3 linked regions of the Canis lupus familiaris genome follow. The protein of the gene in region 3 purifies or fractionates together with the protein of the main gene of each other region. This does not show direct contact. Links are inferred from orthologs where the notes say so. Each region holds a gene or a part of one and is shown on either strand. Other genes may lie near its edges.

Region 1 (3,500 bases), on a different chromosome or scaffold from region 3:
GTCCATTCAAAACCTATGAATTCAAGGTATATATATGATTCAAGATCCATCTTGAATCCCCCCACTTCTGTCCCCACCAGACTCTCTAGTTCAGACCATCCGTATTTCTACTGAGGGCTGCTCATTTCCCCATTCACCCTGCAGCCAGGCTGGTCATCCTAATAGACAAGTATGACCATCTGATTCATCTATTTATAATCTTTCCAAGGCTCCCTGGGCCTCCAGTATAGAGTTCAAATTCTTCAGCATGGAATACAAGGCCCTCTCTGGCTTTTCCATCTTTCTCTAGCCTTATTCCTTACCTCTCTTTCTTTAGTCAATATGCCCAGTTATTGAGAACTACGCATAATTTCTAGGATACATCACGATTTTGGAGACTTCCAAGCTATTCATATCCTGCCCCCCTATCCTGGAATCCTGTTCTCTGAGTCCTCCTTCCTGATTTATCGATAAATCCTTCTAGTTTTTTTTTTTGATGCAGCAAAGCCTTCTCTGACCTTCTCATCATGGTTGTGTTAGCAGAAACCTTTGTACTTAATTTTTGAATAACCATTACCAATCTGTATTTTAAGTCCCTCTCAATAAACTTAGTTCTTTACGGGTAAAAGCTGTTCCATGTTCGCCTTTGTATTAAAGTCTGGAGTCTGCCATTGTTTTTATTTGTATATTCTATTCTACCAGGAGGCCACTTTGTTGTGAATTCTTTCTTTCTTCTGCAGAGGTTAAAATGTCGTTTGATCATCTGGGCAGTAGAATATGTCAGTGCCTTGTCAGAGGGTCCTTCTGCCCCTAACAGATGAGGCGCCCGTCCTAAAAGCATACCCTAGGTAGAGGAGATCAGCAGGATTGTCCAAGTTCTGCTGCCTTCCTGCCTAAGACACGCAGGACCTGAGGAAAAAATCAACGTAAATTCTTTGCCTTATAGATGCTATCTGTGAACAGCAGCTGATACTGTGCATTAAATCTGGGAACAGGCCAGATGTGGAGGACATCATTGAGTACTGCCCAGAGGAGATTATCAGCATCATGAAGCAATGCTGGGAGGCAAAACCCGAAATTCGGCCAACATTTGCTGGTAAGAGCATCTTCTGTGACTGTGTACATTGCCAGTGAGGTGACTTTCCTGGTAAGATGTTGTCAGGAAGTTGAAGTGTTCAGAAACCTGAGTTCTACTTGTGATTTCAAATAGACTTTCTAGATTTCACACATTTTGTTCGATGAAAAGATACCATCCCTCTTAAAAATGTGAAGTTATATGAGGCCCTCTTCTTTCTTTTTTCTTTCTTTCTTTTTTTTTTTTTTTTTCTGCATAATTAACTTTTTAAAAATTGTGTTAAGGGCAGCCCTGGTGGCTCAGCGGTTTAGCGCTACCTTCAGTCCAAGGCATGATCCTGGAGACCCAGGATCAAGTCCCACGTCTGGCTCCCTGCATAGAGCCTGCTTCTCTGCCTGTATCTCTGCCTCTCTTTCTCTCTTTGTGTGTGTCTCATGAATAAATAAAAAAAATCTTTAAAAATAAATAAATAAAAATTGTGTTAAAATATGCATAATGCATCAGTTACCATTTTAACCTTATTTAAGTGTACAGTTCAGCGGCGTTGAGTACGTTCACAGTGTTGTGCATCCAGCACCACCAGCCATCTCTAAAACCTCTTCATCTTCCCAAACTGAAACTTCGTATCCATTAAAACGCACCAACTCCCCATCCCCCTTCCCCCAGCCCTGGCAGCCACCCTTCTGACTTTTCATCCCTATGAATTTATTCTATTATTTCTATCATTACATCAATAGGCACGATTCTAGGCACCTCGTGGAGTCATACAGTTTTTGTCTTTTCGTGCCTGGCTTGTTTCACTCAGGATAATGTCTAGGGTTGCTCTGTGCTGTGGTGTGTGTCAGAAGTTCCTTCCTTTTTTTTTTTTTTTTGTAAGATTTTATTCATTTATTCATGACAGAGAGAGAGGCAGAAACACAGGCAGAGGGAGAGAGAAGGGGTGTGTGTGTGTGTGTGTGTGTGTGTATGTATACACACACGCCGCATTTTCTTTATTCATTCATCTGTTGATGGATACTTTGGTAGCTTCCACTGGTCCTTTTTTATTAGCATCTTTTATTTCTTCTCCTTCCCCTTGGGATGCAGACTTCTTTGGAAATGTATATTGTCATTTAGATTAGGCCTGTAGGGCAGCCCGGGTGGCTCAGCCGTTTAGCGCAGCCTTCGGCCCAGGGTGTGATCCTGGAGACCCGGGATCAAGTCCCACGTCGGGCTCCCTGCATGGAGCCTGCTTCTCCCTCTGCTTGTGTCTGTGCCTCTCTCTCTCTCTCTCTCTCTCTGTCTCTCATGAATAAATAAATAAAATCTTTAAAAAAATTAGGCCTTTAATAGAGGGCGAGGAAAGGGGACATGAATGTTTGTCACATCCTTGCATGTCTTCCCATTCCACTAGGTTACCTAGGACCTTGCTAAGATTCTAGAGGCAGAGGAAAGAAAATCAGGTAAGCAAGAAATAAATAGTAGGAAGTCACTTAGGAGCCTATTTCTGCCATGAGAAAACAGAATAAAGCCCCACCCACCACTAGAACCAAGGATTAGAAGGGTACTTTGATTTACTTGCTTGTTTTCCTATTTTCCTAGTCAGCCTGAATCCTCTCCTGACCTGGTCTCTTCTTTTCTTTTATGCCTTTTTCACTTTTTTAAAATTAAAGTTCCTATTTTGAGATAATTGTAGATGTACCTGTGGTTGTAAGAAAAACAGGGGCACCTGGCTGGCTCAGTCAATAGAGTATGCAACTCTTGATCTCGGGGGTTGTAAGTTCGAGCCCCAGGCTGGATGTACAGGTTACTAAAAAATCTTTCTAAAAAAAATAGGGAAAAGAAAAGAAATAACACAGAAATATCCCATATACCTTTTACCTAGTTTACCCCAGTGATAGCATCTGGCCAAACTACAGTATGGTTTTACAACTAGGATGTTGACCTTGATACAGTCAGATGCAGGTCATCTCCATCACCAGAAGGGTGCCTTATGTTGCCTTCTTGTACCCACACCCACTTTCCTCCCCAACGCCACCCTCCTCCTTCACCTCTGTTGATCTCTAATCTGTTCTCCGTTTCTGTCATTTTTTGTCACTTCACAAATACTACATAAGTAGAATCATAGGGACCCCTGGGTGGCTCAGCAGTTGAACATCTGCCTTTGGCTCAGGGCATGATCCCGGAGTCCTGGGAACGAGTCCCACATCAGGCTCCCCACATGGAGCCTGCTTCTCCCTCTGCCTGTGTCTCTGCCTCTCTCTCTCTGTGTCTCTCATGAATAAATAAATAAAATCTTAAAAAAAAATAGAATCATAAAATACTTTTTGGGAATGCTTTGGGTTTGGCTTTTTGCCATTCAGCATGATTCATCCAGGCTATTGTGTATACCAACGATTTGTTCTTTTTATTGCTGAGTAGTATTCCATGGTGTGGATGTACCACAGTTTGTTTATTCTTTCCTCAA
Region 2 (3,500 bases), on a different chromosome or scaffold from region 3:
GAGTATGCGACTCTTAATCTTGGAGTCATGAGTTTGAGCCCCACGTTATGTGTGAAGATTACCTAAAAAGAAAGAAATAATACATAAATAAATAAATAAATAAATACAGGGACACCTGGTGACTCAGTGGTTAAGTGTCTGCCTTCCACCCAGGGCGTGATCCTGGAGACCCCGGATTGAGTCCCGTATCATGCTCCCTGCATTGAGCCTGCTTCTCCCTCTGCCTTTGCCTGTGTCTCTGCCTCTTTCTCTGTGTCTTTCATGAATAAATAAGTAAAATATTTAAAAATAATAATAATAAAGTCCTTTAAAATAAATAAATAAATAAATAAATAAATAAATAAATAAATAAATGATTACAAAGAGAGAAAAGTACTTATACAGTGGAGAACTCTGGCTGCTGAATGAAATACTCAAATTTAACATGGCTAATAATGAGATAAACTGGTCACATATGCCTCCTAATCTGATAGAGACTGGGGGGTGGGAGGAAGGACACCTGGTTATCTTCTTGTCTCATTTCCAAGATAAATTTTCTTGCCAGCTGGAATTTGAACCCAACCTTGTTCCCTAAGTGAACCCCAGAAAGGGAGAGCAGGTGGTCCAGGGCAAGACACAACACCAGAGACTCTCATCCCACAAACATTTCCTGAGCACCTGCTATGTGCCAGGCCCTTTCCTGGGACAGCAGGGAACAAAACAGATGAGGACCTACCCTCCTGGAGGTGACAGTCTGGGGGAAGGAGGTGGTGAGCTGTTACCCGATTCCCACTGGGAAGAAATGTGAGGCCAGGATCATTGTGAAAACTTTTGGTGGGGGAGGGAAACGGCTTTGTTGAAATAGAACTCATATGCTGGGGGCCCCTGGGTGGCTCAGTCAGTGAAGCATATATATGCCTTGGGCGCAGGTCATGATTTTGGGGTTCTAGGATTGAGTCCCACATTGAACTCCCTGCTCCATGAGGAGTCTGCTTTTCCTTCCGCCCCTCCCCCTCCCCTGCTCATGCATTATCTCTCTCAAATAAATAAATAAAATATATTTTTAAAGATTTTATTTATTCATGAGAGACACAGAGAGAGAGGCAGAGACATAGACAGAGGGAGAAGCAGACTCCCCACAGGGAGCCTGATGTGGGATTCGATCCCTGGACCCCAGGATCATGCCTTGAACCAAAGGCAGACATTCAACCACTGAGCCACCTAGGCATCCCAATAAAATATTTTTTTTTAAAGGAACTCCTATACGGATGCCTGCGTGGCTCAGAAGTTGAGCGTCTGCCTTTGACTCAGGGCGTGATCCTGGAGTCCCAGGATGGAGTCCCATGTCAGGCTCCCTGCATGGAGCCTACTTCTCCCTCTCCCTGTGTCTCTGCCTCTCTCTCTTTCTCTCTCTCTGTGTCTCTCATGAATAAATAAATAAAATCTTAAAAAAAAAACCTCATATACTGTATAGTTCACCTATCTAGAGTGTACAATTCATTGGTTTCTGGTGCATTCCTAGAGTTGTACAGCCATCACCTTAATCTAATTTTAGAACATTTTCATCACCCCCTGGAAGAAATATTGTATTCTTCAGCTACCATTCCCCAGCCTTCCCCCCATTACACCCCCCCTCCCCCCAAAACCACAAATTTCCTTCCTATCTCTTTAGATTCCCTATCCTGGGCATTTCACATCAGTGGACTCATATGATATCTGTCCTTTTGGGTCTGGCTACTTGCACCCAGCAATCATGTTTTCAAGGTTCTCCCGTGCTGTAGCACGTGTCAGATTCATTCATTCCTTTGTCTTGTCAAATAATATTCCATCATTTGGCTATGCCACATTTTATTCATCTGCACATCAGCTGATGGACAGGTAGGCTATTCGCACCTTTCAGCTGTGGTGAATGGTGCTCCCTGGACATTCCCATACAAGATTTTGCATAGACATAGGTCTTTAGTTCTCTTGGGTCCACGCCTAGGAGGGGAATTGCTGGGCCATAAGGAGACTCTGTGTTTCAGTGTTTGAGGAACCACTGGGCTGTTTTCTACAGCAGCTGCCCTACTTGCCATCCCCACCAGCCTGGTGTGGTAGGGATTGGAGGGGATGGAGTGGCTGGGGGCAGCCAGGTGGAAGCCACCATTGGAAGGTGCCCCTTCCCTGCAGGCTGAACTGGAGAATGTATCCGGGGCCCTGAGTGAGGCCGAGTCCAGAGCCATCCGGCTCAGCAAGGAGCTGAGCAGCTCAGAGGCCCAGCTACATGACGCTCAGGTGAGGCCCTCCCCACTCAACCCCCAGCACCGCCCCCACCATGGCTCTCCACCCTCTGCCTTCACCTTATCTCCATTTCCTCCACCATCTGTAGGAGATGCTTCAGGAGGAGAGTAGGGCAAAGCTGGCCTTGGGGTCCAAGGCGCGAGCCCTGGAGGCTGAAGTGGCGGGGCTGCGGGAACAGCTGGAGGAGGAGGCAGCCGCCAGGGAGCGGGCAGGCCGCGAGCTACAGACCGCCCAGGCCCAGGTGAGCAGTCCTGGAGGGAGACCTGGTGGGGCCTCCAGTCAGTCCCAACCCACTCCTCTGGATTCCTCAGCTCAGGGATGGCCCCATTGCCCACCCAGTCCTAGGCCGGACCCCCGGGAGACCCCCATTCTTGTCTCTGACTCTCCCTCAGCCACAGCCTGTCCTTCACCACCCCACTCTGAGCTCCCAAGCCCTTTGTCTTCTCATCCCCATTCCAATCACCTTGGGCTGGAACTCTCTCTGCCCATGGGTCCCCACACACACCCGAATGGGAGCTCCTTGAAAGTGGAACCCATCAAAGTTAGGTCTTGGTCTTCAACACAGGCCAACCTAGAGCCTGGCATATAGGAGGCCTGGAGAAATGTCTGATGAATGAATGAGTGATGACTGCATGCCTCTAAATATCCTTCTTCAACTGGCAGCTTCCTATGCATACTTCAAGATCCATCTCAAATGCCCCCTCTTCCAGGAAGTCTATCTTGAATGTTCTGAACAGATTCTAAATTCCTCCTGTGGGTTCCCATGGCTGCCATGCTGCTTCTCCTTTAGCCTCCACCACCCTGGCCTTGATGCTCAGTCTCCCCCATCAGAATGGAGTCCTCCCCAGGGTGGAGTCCGGGTCTGATTCATCTTCTGGGTCCTGATGGGAGTAATTTTCATCTCCTGAAGAAGCTGAGGTTCATAGAACTCACAACCTCAAGCCTACTCCAAAGCAGAAGAACCCAGTACAACGAGTCCCTTTTCTCCTCAGGCCTCAGGCTCCTTGTCTGGGAAGTAGGGCACTACCAACTCACACCTTGGTCTGGTCACAGCCATGACAGCCACCCACCCTTTCTCCTCATCCCATGCCCCACCCCCAGCTCTCAGAGTGGCGGCGGCGCCAGGAGGAGGAGGCAGGAGCCCTGGAAGCAGGAGAGGAGGCCCGGCGCCGGGCAGCCCGTGAGGCTGAGGCCCTAAGCCTGCGCCTGGCAGAAAAAACTGAGGCGGTGGAGCGGCTGGA
Region 3 (3,500 bases):
TGTAAATTATATTGGTAAGTATAGCTCATTTACTGACTGAGGTTTAAAACTGAAATAATACAATTTTGACTTAATATGGTTAGTAGAAATGGTCTTTTGGTGTTTCTGTTCTGTATCTCATACTTCTGGTTTTTAATTATGATGAGAAATGAATTTATACAGATTGGAAGGTGAAATAGTAGATTTCAAGTCATCTCTAGATCCCTCATTTGGAAGAAGACTTACTTTCTGCAGGATAAGGCTCTCACAGAAGAATGAATCTCCACTATTAATTAAGCCTGCTTTCTAGTTGCTTTATGTAAGCGTGTTCAGATACTTCATTTTATATGAATACTGCTTAACGTTCAAATGTTTTCATTTATCCTGTGAGAATTACTCTTTTCTTTGGAAGAAGTGATTAGTTTCTGTATACCCAAAACTAAAATTAAAGCATAGTATTGTAAAATCAAGAACAAAACTGGGCAAAGGGCTGAAATCATGTAATCTTTCCTTTTTGTTAGTTTTTTTTAAACAACAGCTTTAAATTTACAGAAAAATTGAGACACCTGGGTGGCTCAGCGGTTAAGGTTCTATTTGCCTTTGACTTAGGGCATGATTCTGGAGTCCCGGGGTCGAGTCCAACATCGGGCTTCCTGCATGGAACCTGCTTCTCCCTCTGCCTATGTCTCTGCCTGTCTCTTCTGTGTCTCTCATGAATAAATAAATAAAATCTTTAAAATAAATAAATGAATAAGTAAATAAATAAAAAGTAACTTCCCACCTCTTTTCCCCATCTTTTTACATATAGTACGGGACAGCAAAATTCAGCTTCCAATTATACAGCTGCGTAAAGTATGGGCTGAAGCAGTGCACTATGTGTCTGGGCTGAAAGAAGACTATAGCAGGCTCTTTCAGGGACAAAGAGCAGCAATGTAAGTGGATTCTGTTGTTTACAGGTGCAATGTCATGTGCATTAATGTTCAAGAATTAATCTTGCTGTTTTCACTAATCAGTATTCCACGCAATACTGAAATATTGGACTAATCTGAAATATAATATTCTCACCAGACTTAAAGAATTCTTACTAATGGTCTGAAACCATCCAATTGCAACAGCTTGAGAGTAGTTCCTGAGCAGTCCTAGTATAAGAAGATTGTTTTATCTTAGAATATCACAGGTAGGGAGTCTTCAGAGACTAGATTCTAGTCTAAACTATTTCTCACAGATTGATAATAGAAGCTTAGGCTTTGGGTTTATGGCAGTTTAAGCTATTAAATTTTTGTTCACTGTTTCTGAAATACTAATTTTTTTTTTTTTTTTTTTTGCTATGGTTTAGGTTAAGTCTTCTTAGATATAACGCTAACCTGACAAAAATGAAGAACACTTTGATCTCAGCATCTCAGCAACTGAAAGCTAAATTGGAGTTTTTCCACAAAAGCATTCAGCTTGACTTGGAAAGATACAGTGAGCAGATGACTTATGGGATATGTGAGTGTTTGGGTAACATGTTTGAAAGAAGTGTTGAATCTCTTGAAGCCATCTTCTGTTTTGCCTTCTTGCCTCAGCCCATTGTTTCATTTATATTAACATTAGAGCAAGAGATAGGTTGCCTCAAGACCTCATAAACAGTGTTTGTACTGAATAGTAGCTGCTTTTAACCTTTATATTAGCAACTTTACTTCCCCACAATTGAACTATAATTGGACTAGGATGGTTTAGCTTCAGAAAAATTCAAAAGCAATTTAAGAACTTTTGATTTTCAAGTCTCATTTTTGAAATAGAGGCGCCTGGGTAGCACAGTTTCTGTTTGACTCGTGGTTTCAGCTCAGGTCATAATCTCAGGGTCCTGAGATCAAGCCCCACATGGGGCTCTGTGCTCAGCATAGAGTCTGCTTAAGACTCTCTCCCTCTCTCTCTCATACCTCCCCTCTGTACACAGTGTCTCTCACTCTCTCTCAAATAAGTAAATCAATCTTTTAAAAAATAGATACAAAGTCTGTATTGGGATGTCTCCTTAACCAGGGAAGTCTTAAACTACTTATCTTACTGTAAATAATAATACAAATAATTCCAGAGTTTTTTCTTCCAAACCACCTACTGTGGAGTCCCCCCCCCCCCCTTTTTTAGTATGGTACACAGCCTCCAGTTTTCAATATTTGACTCTAAGCTCTCTCCTTTCAGATGTATTAAGGAAATGTAAGATGCAGATTTAAAATTCAAATAATAAGCTGAAGGGGTCACCACCAATATTTCTGTTTTCTGTCATAAAACAAATTATTTTTTGGGAAACAAATCCTATTCGTATAACTTGTCTTAAGCAAAGTGTATGTGTAACAGAATAAATGATCAGCAGTATCCAATTGGGTAAGTTTACCCATTAGGACTGGTTCTATGATTGATGTTTTATTTCTATTTTTGTATAATAAGCATTCTAATGAATGGCAGAACACTGTAATTATTTCACCAAATTATCTTTGACTAATCAGCTGTTAAAAAGGAATGACACAGACCTGTGTACTCATACTAAAGGATCACTTGGGTCTTTAATGGCAGTGATGTATTAAAAAAAAACAGAGAGAAAAGTATATAGAGATAGTCTCACTTATGAGGGAAAAGGGTATGTGTCTATGTAACAAGTGATTAACAGTAAGATCCTTAGAGTGGAGGGGACAAAGAGAGAGTCTTTTCTTTTTATATCCTTTTATAGTATTTGATTTTTAAAAAATCATGTTCATGTATTACTTTTCCTTTTTTTTTTTTTTTTTCATTTTTTAAGAGAAAACTATTTATATTGGTTTCTTAGGGGTGCTGTAGCAAGTTACTATAAACTAGGTGGCTTAAAGCCACAGAAATTTAAATAAATAAATAAATAAATAAATAAACAAATAAATAAATAAAACCATAGAACTGTGTCACAGTTCCAAAGGCTGAAAATCCAAATCAAGGTGTTGGCAGGGTCCATGAACCCCCTGAAAGCTGTGGGGAAGAATACTTCCTAGCTTCTTCCTAGGTTCTCGTGGTTTGCCAACAGTCTTTAGCTCCTTGGCTTACAGCTGTAGCACTTTAATCTATACCTCTGTCGTCAAAATAGAGCTCTCTCTTCATGTGTTTGGGTTTCTCATAAGAAAACTAGTCATACTGGATTAATCCACCCTACTCCAGGATGATCTCATCTTAATTAGCTAACTGCAACTGGCAGTGACCCTATTTCCAAATAAGGTCACATTCTGAGGTACTGAATTAGGACTTCAACAAAGCTTTTTGGGGGGACAGTTCAATCTATAACACCATTTTTGATGATGATATGGCAAGGAAGTGGATAGGTCAGTAATTAAGGCTATAGCTATTTCTGAGATAACCAATTAAGACTTTTTTTTTAGCCTCAGAAAAAATGTTAAAAGCATGGAAGGAAATGGAAGAAAAGGCTATCCACTATGCCGAGGTAAAATCACTAGCTCACTCTATATGCTTATTAATTCCTGAGGTCTCTCATAGAAGTTGTCTTTGGTTTCAATATATAG

Evidence for each region. The genes of interacting proteins can lie anywhere in the genome.
Region 1: the proteins of CHUK (region 3) and RIPK1 purify together in Homo sapiens (affinity purification with western blotting; 3 studies listed by BioGRID, with this or other methods). This does not show direct contact. The link is inferred for Canis lupus familiaris from reciprocal best matches to the Homo sapiens genes CHUK and RIPK1.
Region 2: the proteins of CHUK (region 3) and MYH14 purify together in Homo sapiens (affinity purification with mass spectrometry; 3 studies listed by BioGRID and IntAct, with this or other methods). This does not show direct contact. The link is inferred for Canis lupus familiaris from reciprocal best matches to the Homo sapiens genes CHUK and MYH14.

The regions. Positions count from the first base shown.
Region 1 is NC_049256.1:4,671,563-4,675,062, forward strand, and holds part of RIPK1 (receptor-interacting serine/threonine-protein kinase 1), read left to right. Parts: intron 1-925; coding exon 926-1,075; intron 1,076-3,500. UniProt on the Homo sapiens protein: Serine-threonine kinase which is a key regulator of TNF-mediated apoptosis, necroptosis and inflammatory pathways.
Region 2 is NC_049222.1:107,069,771-107,073,270, reverse strand, and holds part of MYH14 (myosin-14), read left to right. Parts: intron 1-2,148; coding exon 2,149-2,253; intron 2,254-2,347; coding exon 2,348-2,500; intron 2,501-3,360; coding exon 3,361-3,500. UniProt on the Homo sapiens protein: Cellular myosin that appears to play a role in cytokinesis, cell shape, and specialized functions such as secretion and capping.
Region 3 is NC_049249.1:13,165,349-13,168,848, reverse strand, and holds part of CHUK (inhibitor of nuclear factor kappa-B kinase subunit alpha), read left to right. Parts: coding exon 1-14; intron 15-787; coding exon 788-911; intron 912-1,315; coding exon 1,316-1,467; intron 1,468-3,359; coding exon 3,360-3,421; intron 3,422-3,500.